Linked DNA regions of Macaca fascicularis. The protein of the gene in region 1 binds, or shares a complex with, the protein of each later gene. Links are inferred from orthologs where the notes say so. Each region holds a gene or a part of one and is shown on either strand. Other genes may lie near its edges. The genes, in order: ACTL7A and TES.

Region 1 (4,496 bases):
TACATCAGAGGATACCCTGAGAATTTTCCCAACAATGACATCACTAATTATGATGTAATCTGGTGACCTGGGCTTTCTAGATATTGCAAACCCTTATCCTGTGTTAGGGTACATTTGGGATATTGTTTTTGAAATGGCTCCCCTTTTCCTAAATTTTGTAACAAGACTGATTTATTCAATTAATTAATATTTCTTGAGTGTCTGCTATATACAAGGCAGCTGGGAATTCAGTGGTGAAAAAAAACCAGACAAAATCCCTTATTCTAGTTGGTGGGGGGTGGGGGTGACAGACAATAACCAAAATGAGCATTAAGAGCAAAAGCAGGGTGGCAGTGCTAGGGTGGCCTTGGCAGAGCTTCCTGAGAGGGTGACATCTGAATGAAGGACCTGCAGGAGGTGAGGGAGAGAGCCACGTGTTTGTCAGGGGAACAGCAGGTGCGGGGGACTGGAGGCAGATGTGTGAAGAGTTAGATCAGGGGTCAGCAGGCTGCAGTCCAGTCCAGTCCCCAGCTTGTTGGATTGGAATACAGCCGTGCTCATTCATGTTTGTATCGTCCATGGCTGCCTTTGCAGCACAGCAGTAGAGCTGAGTCACGGCTTTGAAGACTGTGTTGCCCAAAAAGCTGAATGAAAGTAAGTATTGACCGGCCCTTAAAAAGTTTGCTGACCTCTTGAGTTAGAGGAGGAACAGGAAGACAAATGTGGCTGGCATGGAAGGAGTAAGGAAAATTAGATGAGATGGGGTGGGGGAAGGCGAGCAGCTCACAGTAGGCCTCATAGGCCAATGCGAGGATCATGCCTAAGGTCAGAAAGCACTAGAGGATTTGGTGCAGAGCACCGACACCATCTGATTTAGATGTTAGCGGGATCCTTTGCTGCTATGGTGACTATGTCAAGGGCACTAAGGGTGACACTTAGAACAACCTTAAGAGGAATTATTTTTGGATATACATTTGTACACTTACTGTGCCTTCATCAGGGTCATTGGCTAGGCAGTGAAATTAGACCCTAAAAAATCCCACTGACAACACTGAGGCTTGTAGGTGCGTAGCTCATCCAAGGATATCCAACCAGGAGTAGCCAAGCTCTCCCGACTGTGGCTTCCTCCCCAGGATGTGCTGGGACACAGCTTGATGGGACCTAGTATGCATCTTTTGGGCTGCTTGGCCACCATCTTGCATGCCATTTCTGAAGCTGGACACATTGGTGTGGATGCCTGCCACACTCAGGGCAGAATCCAGCCTTATGTGATGCCATACCTTGAACCTGATCCCAGCCCTTCATAAAAGGCAGTCACCACAATAATGGGCTTTCTCCTTTAGAGAGGCTATGGGTCCTTCTTTCAGTTCCTTTGGGGTATGAGAGAAGAAAAGGACCAAGTCCAGTCTCATGAGGTTTGTGACTATCTGATGGGGGCAGCAAGGTGTCATCCCAGGGACAAAATCTCAGTTTCTTGCTTCATTGGTTAGTGGGTGAGATCATGGCATGGAATTTTGAAGGAAAAATAGGAAAGTACTTTCGATACCTGGCTGCCTGAAAAACAGTTTAATTGCCTCTGCTGTTCAGGGATTTGCATGGACAACTCAGATTGTTTGACTTTATTTCAAAAGTTCTGTATATGGTAACCAAAGGCATATGTAATTTAAAACCCTCCATTTTTTTTCTCCCCAAACCCTACTTGAATTTTGAGAAATCTATAGCTGCTTGGTACCTTTTCACTAATCTGGACTCCTAGAAGAGCCTGTATTAGCTTCCTGTTTCTGCTGTAACAAATTACCGTGGATGTAGTGGCTTAAAGCAACTCACAGTTATTATCTTACTGTTTTGGAGGTCGGAAGTTCGTAATTCTTCTTAGTGGACTACAATTAAGGTTCTTTTAGGGCTGTATTCCTTCTGGAGGTGTAGGAGACAGTACTTCTTCTTGCCTTCTCCAGCTCCTAGAGGCCACCTGTGTTCCTTGGCTCATGTCCCTTCCTCCATCTTAAAAGACTTAGAGTCTCAGACTACAGCTATCATTGTCACATCTGTTTCTCTGCCCTTGGCCCTCCTGTATCCCCCATATAAGGACCCTTGTGATTACATTGGCCCCACCCAGGCCATCCAAAATACTCTCCCCATCTCAGATTCCTTCATTTACTCCCATCCACGGAATCCCTTTTGGCATGAAAGTTAATATACTCACAGGTCCCAGGGATTAAGATGTGGACACCTTTGGAGGACCCTTTCACCTGTCCTGTGCCTCCCTCTTCACTAATACACTCCAAGCCTGACATGCTCTGACTCGTTTGCTCTTCCTGGGCTGCCCAGGCTTGCCCATCTATCATCTGTCATTGCCCTTTCTGCATTTGTGTGTGGAAGAGGTGATGCCTTAGTGTAAGGCAGTTATTCTGTCTAGTCTGTAAGGTCCTTGAGCATAGGGATTCCCCTCACATTCTCTGAGCAAAAGCCAACGAAACACTTGCCCTCCTTTTCTTCACCTCTCAGTTTCACATGTTGGGTACCCCCAATCAAAACCCTGTTCCCCCTAAGCTTCCTGTTACTCTCTGTGCCTCTTCTCTCCCTCTGTGGGTCAGCACACGGTTAGCGGTAATGATGGAAGAATGCAGAGACTGTTGACACCGTGCTCCAAACCTCTACTGCCTAGCACACAGCCCCCCACAACTGTCATCAGCTAAGGTCTGTGTGGGCTCCCTGGGGTCCCTAGTGAGGTCCCTCTAGGGAGAGGCACCCTATATTGCTCAAAATATGTTGGGCCATATTTTCTAATGGGATCACACATACTTTTAGTCCTCTGGCTCAAGACCAAAAAAACCAAAAAAACCATGGGATGACTCCTTTTTGAAAGCAACCCTGGGGTCTTTTTTTTTTTTTTTTTTTTTTTTGAGACAGAGTCTCGCTCTGTTGCCCAGACTGGAGTGCAGTGATGGGGTCTTGGCTCACTGCAAGCTCCGCCTCCTGGGTTCATGCCATTCTCCTGCCTCAGCCTCCCGAGTAGCTGGGACTACAGGCGCCCACCACCACGCCTGGCTAATTTTTTATATTTTTAGTAGAGACGGGGTTTCACCGTGTTAGCCAGGATGGTCTCGATCTCCTGACCTTGTGATCTGCCCGCCTCGGCCTCCCAAAGTGCTGCGATTACAGGTGTGAGCCACCGCGCCTGGCCAACCCTGGGGTTCTCTTCTATAGTGGAGGGAGAGAACATGGAAAGATGAGATTAAAGAACACACTTATCCCTGAGGTGCATCCTGGCTCCTGGCTTCAATTTTTGAGACACTACCCGCCCTTGACCTTTGGAGGAGAGGTGAGCCAGGCCCCTGGAAGTTTAGCAGCTATAGGAGGGAAAAAATGAAAATCTGGTGTGACATTTCTTCTCATGAATCACCTGTAGTTTTTCTTAAAAATTACTGGAGTCCACCACAGCCTTTCCAACTCTTGAATATGCTGGAGAACCCCTGAGTCAGGAGCTCTCAACAAAGAAGATCCTTGCCAAACAGGCACTTTGAGCTGCTTTCTCACAGCTCAGACCCCAGTGTGGACACTCAGGTCCCAAGACTGTGCCCATTTCCCTGAGGTGGAAGGGAGAGGAGCTGTCTTCAGGGGGAGATGAGCTACTGAGCAGGCAAATCTGGATCCGAATGCTTCCCCTTCCACGTGCTCCAGCCCAGTGTCCCACAGCCTAGTGGCCTTTGGGCATCTCTAAGTCAGCATGCCCTAGTTGGAGCTCATTCTCTCCCCGCACATGCCTTCCCTTCCTCCCCCTGCATTCCATGTGTTTGTTTGTGGTGCCACCATCCACTTAGCAGCTCAAGGCAGAAACCTGGAGGCCATGGATATGGGTCAAATTGGTGAGGGGACATAGCAATATGGTAATCACATTCAAACGACATTTCAAGTAGTTTATACAAAGTCATACAGATTATAAATAATAAATCTGTGTTTGAACCCAGGTCTCTGGATTCCAGTTCCTTGATCTTCCCTCTGCTCTGTACTGTCTTTCCGTAAGGAGTGGATAAAAAGTAGTCTCTGGCAGTCCATGAGCACTGCCTTTAAATAGCCTAAGAGTTGTCGTGGAAGAATTTGCTTGCTCTGTAGAACTTCAAGAGTAGACGCAAGACCAATTAATGGCTTCAGAGAGGTACACATGCCAATCCAGTGTGACAAAACATTTATCACTCATGGCTGGCCAAAACGGGGTAAGCTGTCCATGTCAGACTGCTGGATGGGATGTTCTAGAGGAAACTGAAGGGTCCAATCCTGAGCTTCTGTGATTTCATGATCCCACCACAGGGCATTTCTGGGTCATGATGTTCATAATTGTAACCCTTAGAAAGTTGTTACCCAAATAATATAGTTGAATGCTGCCATGTTCCAAGAAACAATTCAGCAGGCTGGGTGTGGTGGCTCACACCTGTAATCCCAGCACTTTGGGAGGCCGAGGCGGGTGGATCATGAAATCAAGAGTTCAATACCAGCCTGGCCAACATGGTGAAACCCCG
Region 2 (4,524 bases), on another chromosome or scaffold:
TTCTTAGTGTCATCTCTGCAACCTCATCAAATAAGGGTCCAAAATTTATGTTACAACATTTGTTTGATGCCTTATTTAAATTGCTTTACTGGACATTTTCCATCTGTTAAGCTCTCTGAAAGAAACAAAATTGTCTTGTCATAGCTAGACCTCATGTTCCTGTACACTTACAGAGGGCAAACTTTGCAGGGGCCCACAACTTTCAAGGTGATTTGGGAAAATGATACAGAAAAGTTATACATCAATTAAAAGAAAAATGTGTAACTCATTTTGGTAATTTCAGTGTTAATTCTTAATAGGATAAAGGAAACATGCACATTATAAATCAATGCTCTGTGTTAACAAATAATCAAGTAAGCAGAGTTGCAAGTATTGGCTAAAATGAATTTTGGATATTTTTAGCTACCAAATTTCTAGAGGCAAGGTAGACATACATCTGGACCTGAATATCTGCATTACTGGGGAATTTTTGTTTGTTTGTTTTATATTGTTTTGTTATTTTTAAAAGTAGGTGTCAAATTATGTCACCTGCTGTCTGGGCAATGTTATTTTTTGCCATAACCACAAATTGAAGAAAATTGACCGCTCTTTTTCCTTAGTCAACATGCTCTGCTTCCAGCCCCAAACATCTTTGAGAAGTTATTTAGATTCATGAGCAATGCCTCTGTCCCCAACAGGCTAAGACATTAGGCAGGTCCCTGCACCTCTGGAGTCCTCAGTTCCCAGCAAAATGAGGAAGCTAGACTAAGTAATCTTAGGCTCCCTTCCGGACCCACCAATCTGAAGGTATTAGATGCAATTGCTCCTGAATTAGGGCATGAAATGAGTTCAGCTCTGGTGCACCAATGTGATGACTCTGCGTCATCAAAGCCTGAGCACGCGATAGGCCTAGCACCATTTCACACAGCAGAAAGGGCAACCCTCTACTTCCAAAGGAATGACACCTGTTTCTGAAGTGATTCACATCATCTTTACTTTTGAACAACCCAATGCTCAGGAAACAATCTAAGAATATTCACTGACGTTAGGGATGTAAGATGCGGTTTCTTGACAGTATTTGGGATTTTGGAGAAAAGCAATCGAGGAAAGGGCATCTCCACAACGCAATAGTGAATTTAGTGCCCAAGGTCCATCACAGGAATCCCTAACGATCCCTACAATCTCTCTCTTTCTCTTTTTCTTTTATTTTTTCTCTCTTTGCTCTGAAAATAAACTGAGAAGTTAGTTTGAAAATAAACTGAGAAGTTGGGATACCTATTCCCCTTGACCCAGATAAAAAGTCCTGGGCAAACACAGGTACAAATTGCCAAAATGAAAAAAGTTCTGCTCTATCTTCAGCTAGAGGGAGGCTGGATCCCAGCTCTTTAGAAGCGGCCCGTGGACGCCCAGAGCATCCTCCGGGGACCAGGTCAGGGTCCCCGAGCTTGCCCCGCAGGGCGCCGCCCCGGACGCGGCCCCGCCCTTCACCTTGCCAGCGCCGAGCTCGAGCCGCGAAGGTGCGTGCGGCGCTCGGTGATTGGCGGCGGCCCGGGGCTGCCCGGCTGCCATTGGCTGCCCGGCCCTCTTTGTTCCCGGGTCCCTGCCGCAGGCCGGCTGCGGCGGACTGGGCGGCGGAAGTTCGACGGCGCCGGTCTAGTGGCTGCTGGGCGGCGGCGTGGGAGTTCCACAGGTTCCCCGTGTCCGCAGCGGAGCCGGAGGCCAGCTGAGCCCGGCCGTGGGATCCCGGACTGGAGGAGGAGGGGACCCATAGGACGCATAAACATGGACCTGGAAAACAAAGTGAAGAAGGTAGGGGGGTGCTCAGGGGGGCGCTCGTGGCGGGCAGCGGCTGCTTCACCTGCGCGGGTCGAGCGGTGCGCGGCGGCCGGAGGTGCCGAGGCGGGTGGGGCTTGCGGGCCGCCTGGCGTGAGCCCGGCTCTGGGTCTGCGGTGTCCCGGGCCCAGAGATCCGGCCCCCTGGGTAGAGTAGGTGCCCGCCGGCCCCGCCAGCTCCCCAAACTCGAGAGCGACAAAATTGGAAGCGCGAGCGAGGGCGGGCGCGGGGCTCTTCTCTCCCGTCTTACGGAGTCCCAGCGGTTGGAGGTGTTGGAAACTTTACTTAAGATGTTTCAGCTCTGCCTGTGCCTCCTCAAAAGGACGAGCTTAGGGCGAGTGCGGGCGAGACCGTGACACTTCCTGGCTCAGGAAGTTCAACTTCATTAAGCCTTTGTGGTTTGGGGCTCTGCTGTGCTTTGACAGCTCTGACCTCCTCCCTTCCAGCTGGGCTGCCTGGGGCCCTATAAAATGAGTGTTGATTTAATGCACTGCCTTCGCACCCGTGCTGGTGATAACTTCTAATGTGAATTTTTTTTTTTTTTTTTTTGGTCATTCATTACTTGTCTACCGAAGCACTGCCTCCCTCTTAGGGAATTATCTGTCAAAGCGCGCATTCTCCCTGTTTGGCAGGGAGTCCCAAAGGGCGGTTGTCACCAGCGTCTCAGCGCAGGGAGACATTTCCAGCCTGGCTGCTGCCTCGCAGGCATTGGAACCGATGGCCTTACCTGAGCCACTCCCGGGTTATGCGGAGCCTGGTGTCGCCTGGGAGAAAAGGGTGGGGACCAGACTGTGACTCAGAAGGAATGCTGATGTCACATTCGAGTGAATTGCCCTGTGCGAAAGTTCTCCGCGTTCCAGGGGATTTGCTCATATTTTACTTTGTGGTAAATTTAAGCTAGCTCTCCCTTATCGGATAGGGAAGTTTTGCAGAGAGAGGAAGGGAAAAATAAAAGTTTGTTTTTTCTCTTACTCATGGTTCCTAATATTCTTATTTTATCTTCTAAACACAAAGTTTCTGACTTGAGCATTAATTCTATTTTATGCCCAGAATTGGATTTTTGAAAATGGATAGAAAGTATTGTGTTAGGACTGCAGAGTTTTCGGTTAGGAAGCTGTTGACCAATAAAAACTTGAAATGAGAAAACAGTTTTTTTCATTCCTTAGGACTGAAATTCGCAAGCACTCAAAAAGGTATCCAGGAACAGAAAAACATAAATTGTTGAGAGTAGCGTGATTGCATTCTATTCTCTTTCCATTTGGTTTCTTTCTTTTTTTCTTTTAAGTAACTGATATTTTTGGTTAATCTTGCTTGTCATGGGGGAAAAGCGGGGAAAGCATTTTTCTCGCTTAGCTTTCTGTTGATGAATACTACATTCATTTAGTTTTCAAGTGGGTAAGAGCTACTTAATTTAGTACTTGTCTAAAACTTGAGGGGTCTTGTCCTTGCTTTTAAGTATTTATTTGAAGACAACTTTGTCAAAGTAAACATATTTTGGGTTGGCCAGGAAGAACAGGTGAAGCACAGGATTTTTAGGGTAATGACCCTATTCTGTATGATACTATAAAATGGCGGATACATGTAATTATACATTAAAATCCATAGAATGTAGAACACCGAGAGTAAACCCTAATGTAAACTATGTATGTTGGGGATAATGATGTGTCAATGTGTTTCATCACTTGTGACAAATGTACAGCACTGATAACGGGATGTTGGTAGTCCGGGAGGCTGCTTGGAGATGGGGAGGCACGGGGGAGGTACATAGGAACTTCGAATTTTCTGCTCAATTTTGCTGTGAAGCTAAAAAATGCTTTAAAAAACAAAGTCCGTTTAATAGGGGAAGAAAAATCAAAGATATTTTTGAAGCTTTTTGAGACAAGGAGTAATTCTGAGGGAAAAAAGTTCAAAGTTAAAAATTGTATGTGCTTGCAAAGGAAAAATGCAGACGTTGTTTATAAACAATTTCCTTAGAGTTTGAAAATGTGGATTATGATAAATAATGCCCTTGACATATGGTATAGTTTTCCTCCTTTATCCCCCACTTTACCTTTAAAAGTTATGTTTTCAACCAAGAATCTTAACTTCCTCTAATTCTCCTCCTCTCTGCCTCTACCACCCCAAAAAGATTTCCGTAAATTAAAGGTTTTAGAGAGAATCTCATGATACAGCAAATCCCTGTTTCACTACGTTGTCTTCACTGATGATTCTTAGAACAGAATCCTCACCTGGTAAATTGGAAGCTATTAAAAAACTGCAAAGATGTCCTATTTGACTCCAGTTTGTGTGGGTCCCTTAATAGATTTGATATTCTAACAAAAAGTTCCCCAGTACAAAAGTTTGGAAATCTCAGGAATGTATTTCACAATCTTGGCCATACTCTCAAAAAGAAATTTACGTTCCTTTTAGCAATTGTTTTCTAACACATCCAAAGAAGGAAATATTACAAGACTATCTGATTTACCAGCACAGTCTTCTCACCCTATTTTGGTACCTAGTTTTCAAGTCGCCTTTCTTTTTGACTCAGTTATACAAGAAAATTAATAGTTTGAATGTACCTTGAGAAAAGGCAGATTAAAAGTTGGAACAAAGACACAACCATTTAAAGACAACTAATATGACTTCTGTTTTAAGATGTGTGACATTTTTTTCCTTCCAAAACTTTTACATTGTTGATTTCATGAAGAATTTCTTCCAGACAGATGAAACGCA

Evidence for each region.
Region 2: the proteins of ACTL7A (region 1) and TES are in contact, whole or in part, in a crystal structure (PDB 2XQN), measured with the Homo sapiens proteins. The link is inferred for Macaca fascicularis from reciprocal best matches to the Homo sapiens genes ACTL7A and TES. Residues at the interface, in NP_006678.1 of Homo sapiens: Leu28, Gln29, Thr30, Ala31, Ser32, Leu33, Arg34, Asp35, Gly36, Pro37, Ala38, Lys39, Arg40, Ala41, Val42, Trp43, Val44, Arg45, His46; in NP_056456.1 of Homo sapiens: Asn311, Glu312, Tyr313, Thr314, Gln315, Ala316, Glu317, Leu323, Phe326, Leu335, Ala336, Gly337, Glu338, Ile339, Tyr340, Val341, Tyr353, Pro370, Glu371, Val372, Gln373, Arg374, Val375, Thr376, Tyr377, Ala384, Phe389, Leu398, Ile399, Gly400.

The regions. Positions count from the first base shown.
Region 1 is NC_088389.1:49,266,104-49,270,599, forward strand, and holds the start of ACTL7A (actin-like protein 7A), read right to left. Parts: upstream 2,815-4,496; 5' UTR 1-2,814. UniProt on the Homo sapiens protein: Essential for normal spermatogenesis and male fertility. Required for normal sperm head morphology, acroplaxome formation, acrosome attachment, and acrosome granule stability.
Region 2 is NC_088377.1:157,676,822-157,681,345, forward strand, and holds the start of TES (testin), read left to right. Parts: upstream 1-1,591; 5' UTR 1,592-1,761; coding exon 1,762-1,788; intron 1,789-4,524. UniProt on the Homo sapiens protein: Scaffold protein that may play a role in cell adhesion, cell spreading and in the reorganization of the actin cytoskeleton. Plays a role in the regulation of cell proliferation. May act as a tumor suppressor. Inhibits tumor cell growth.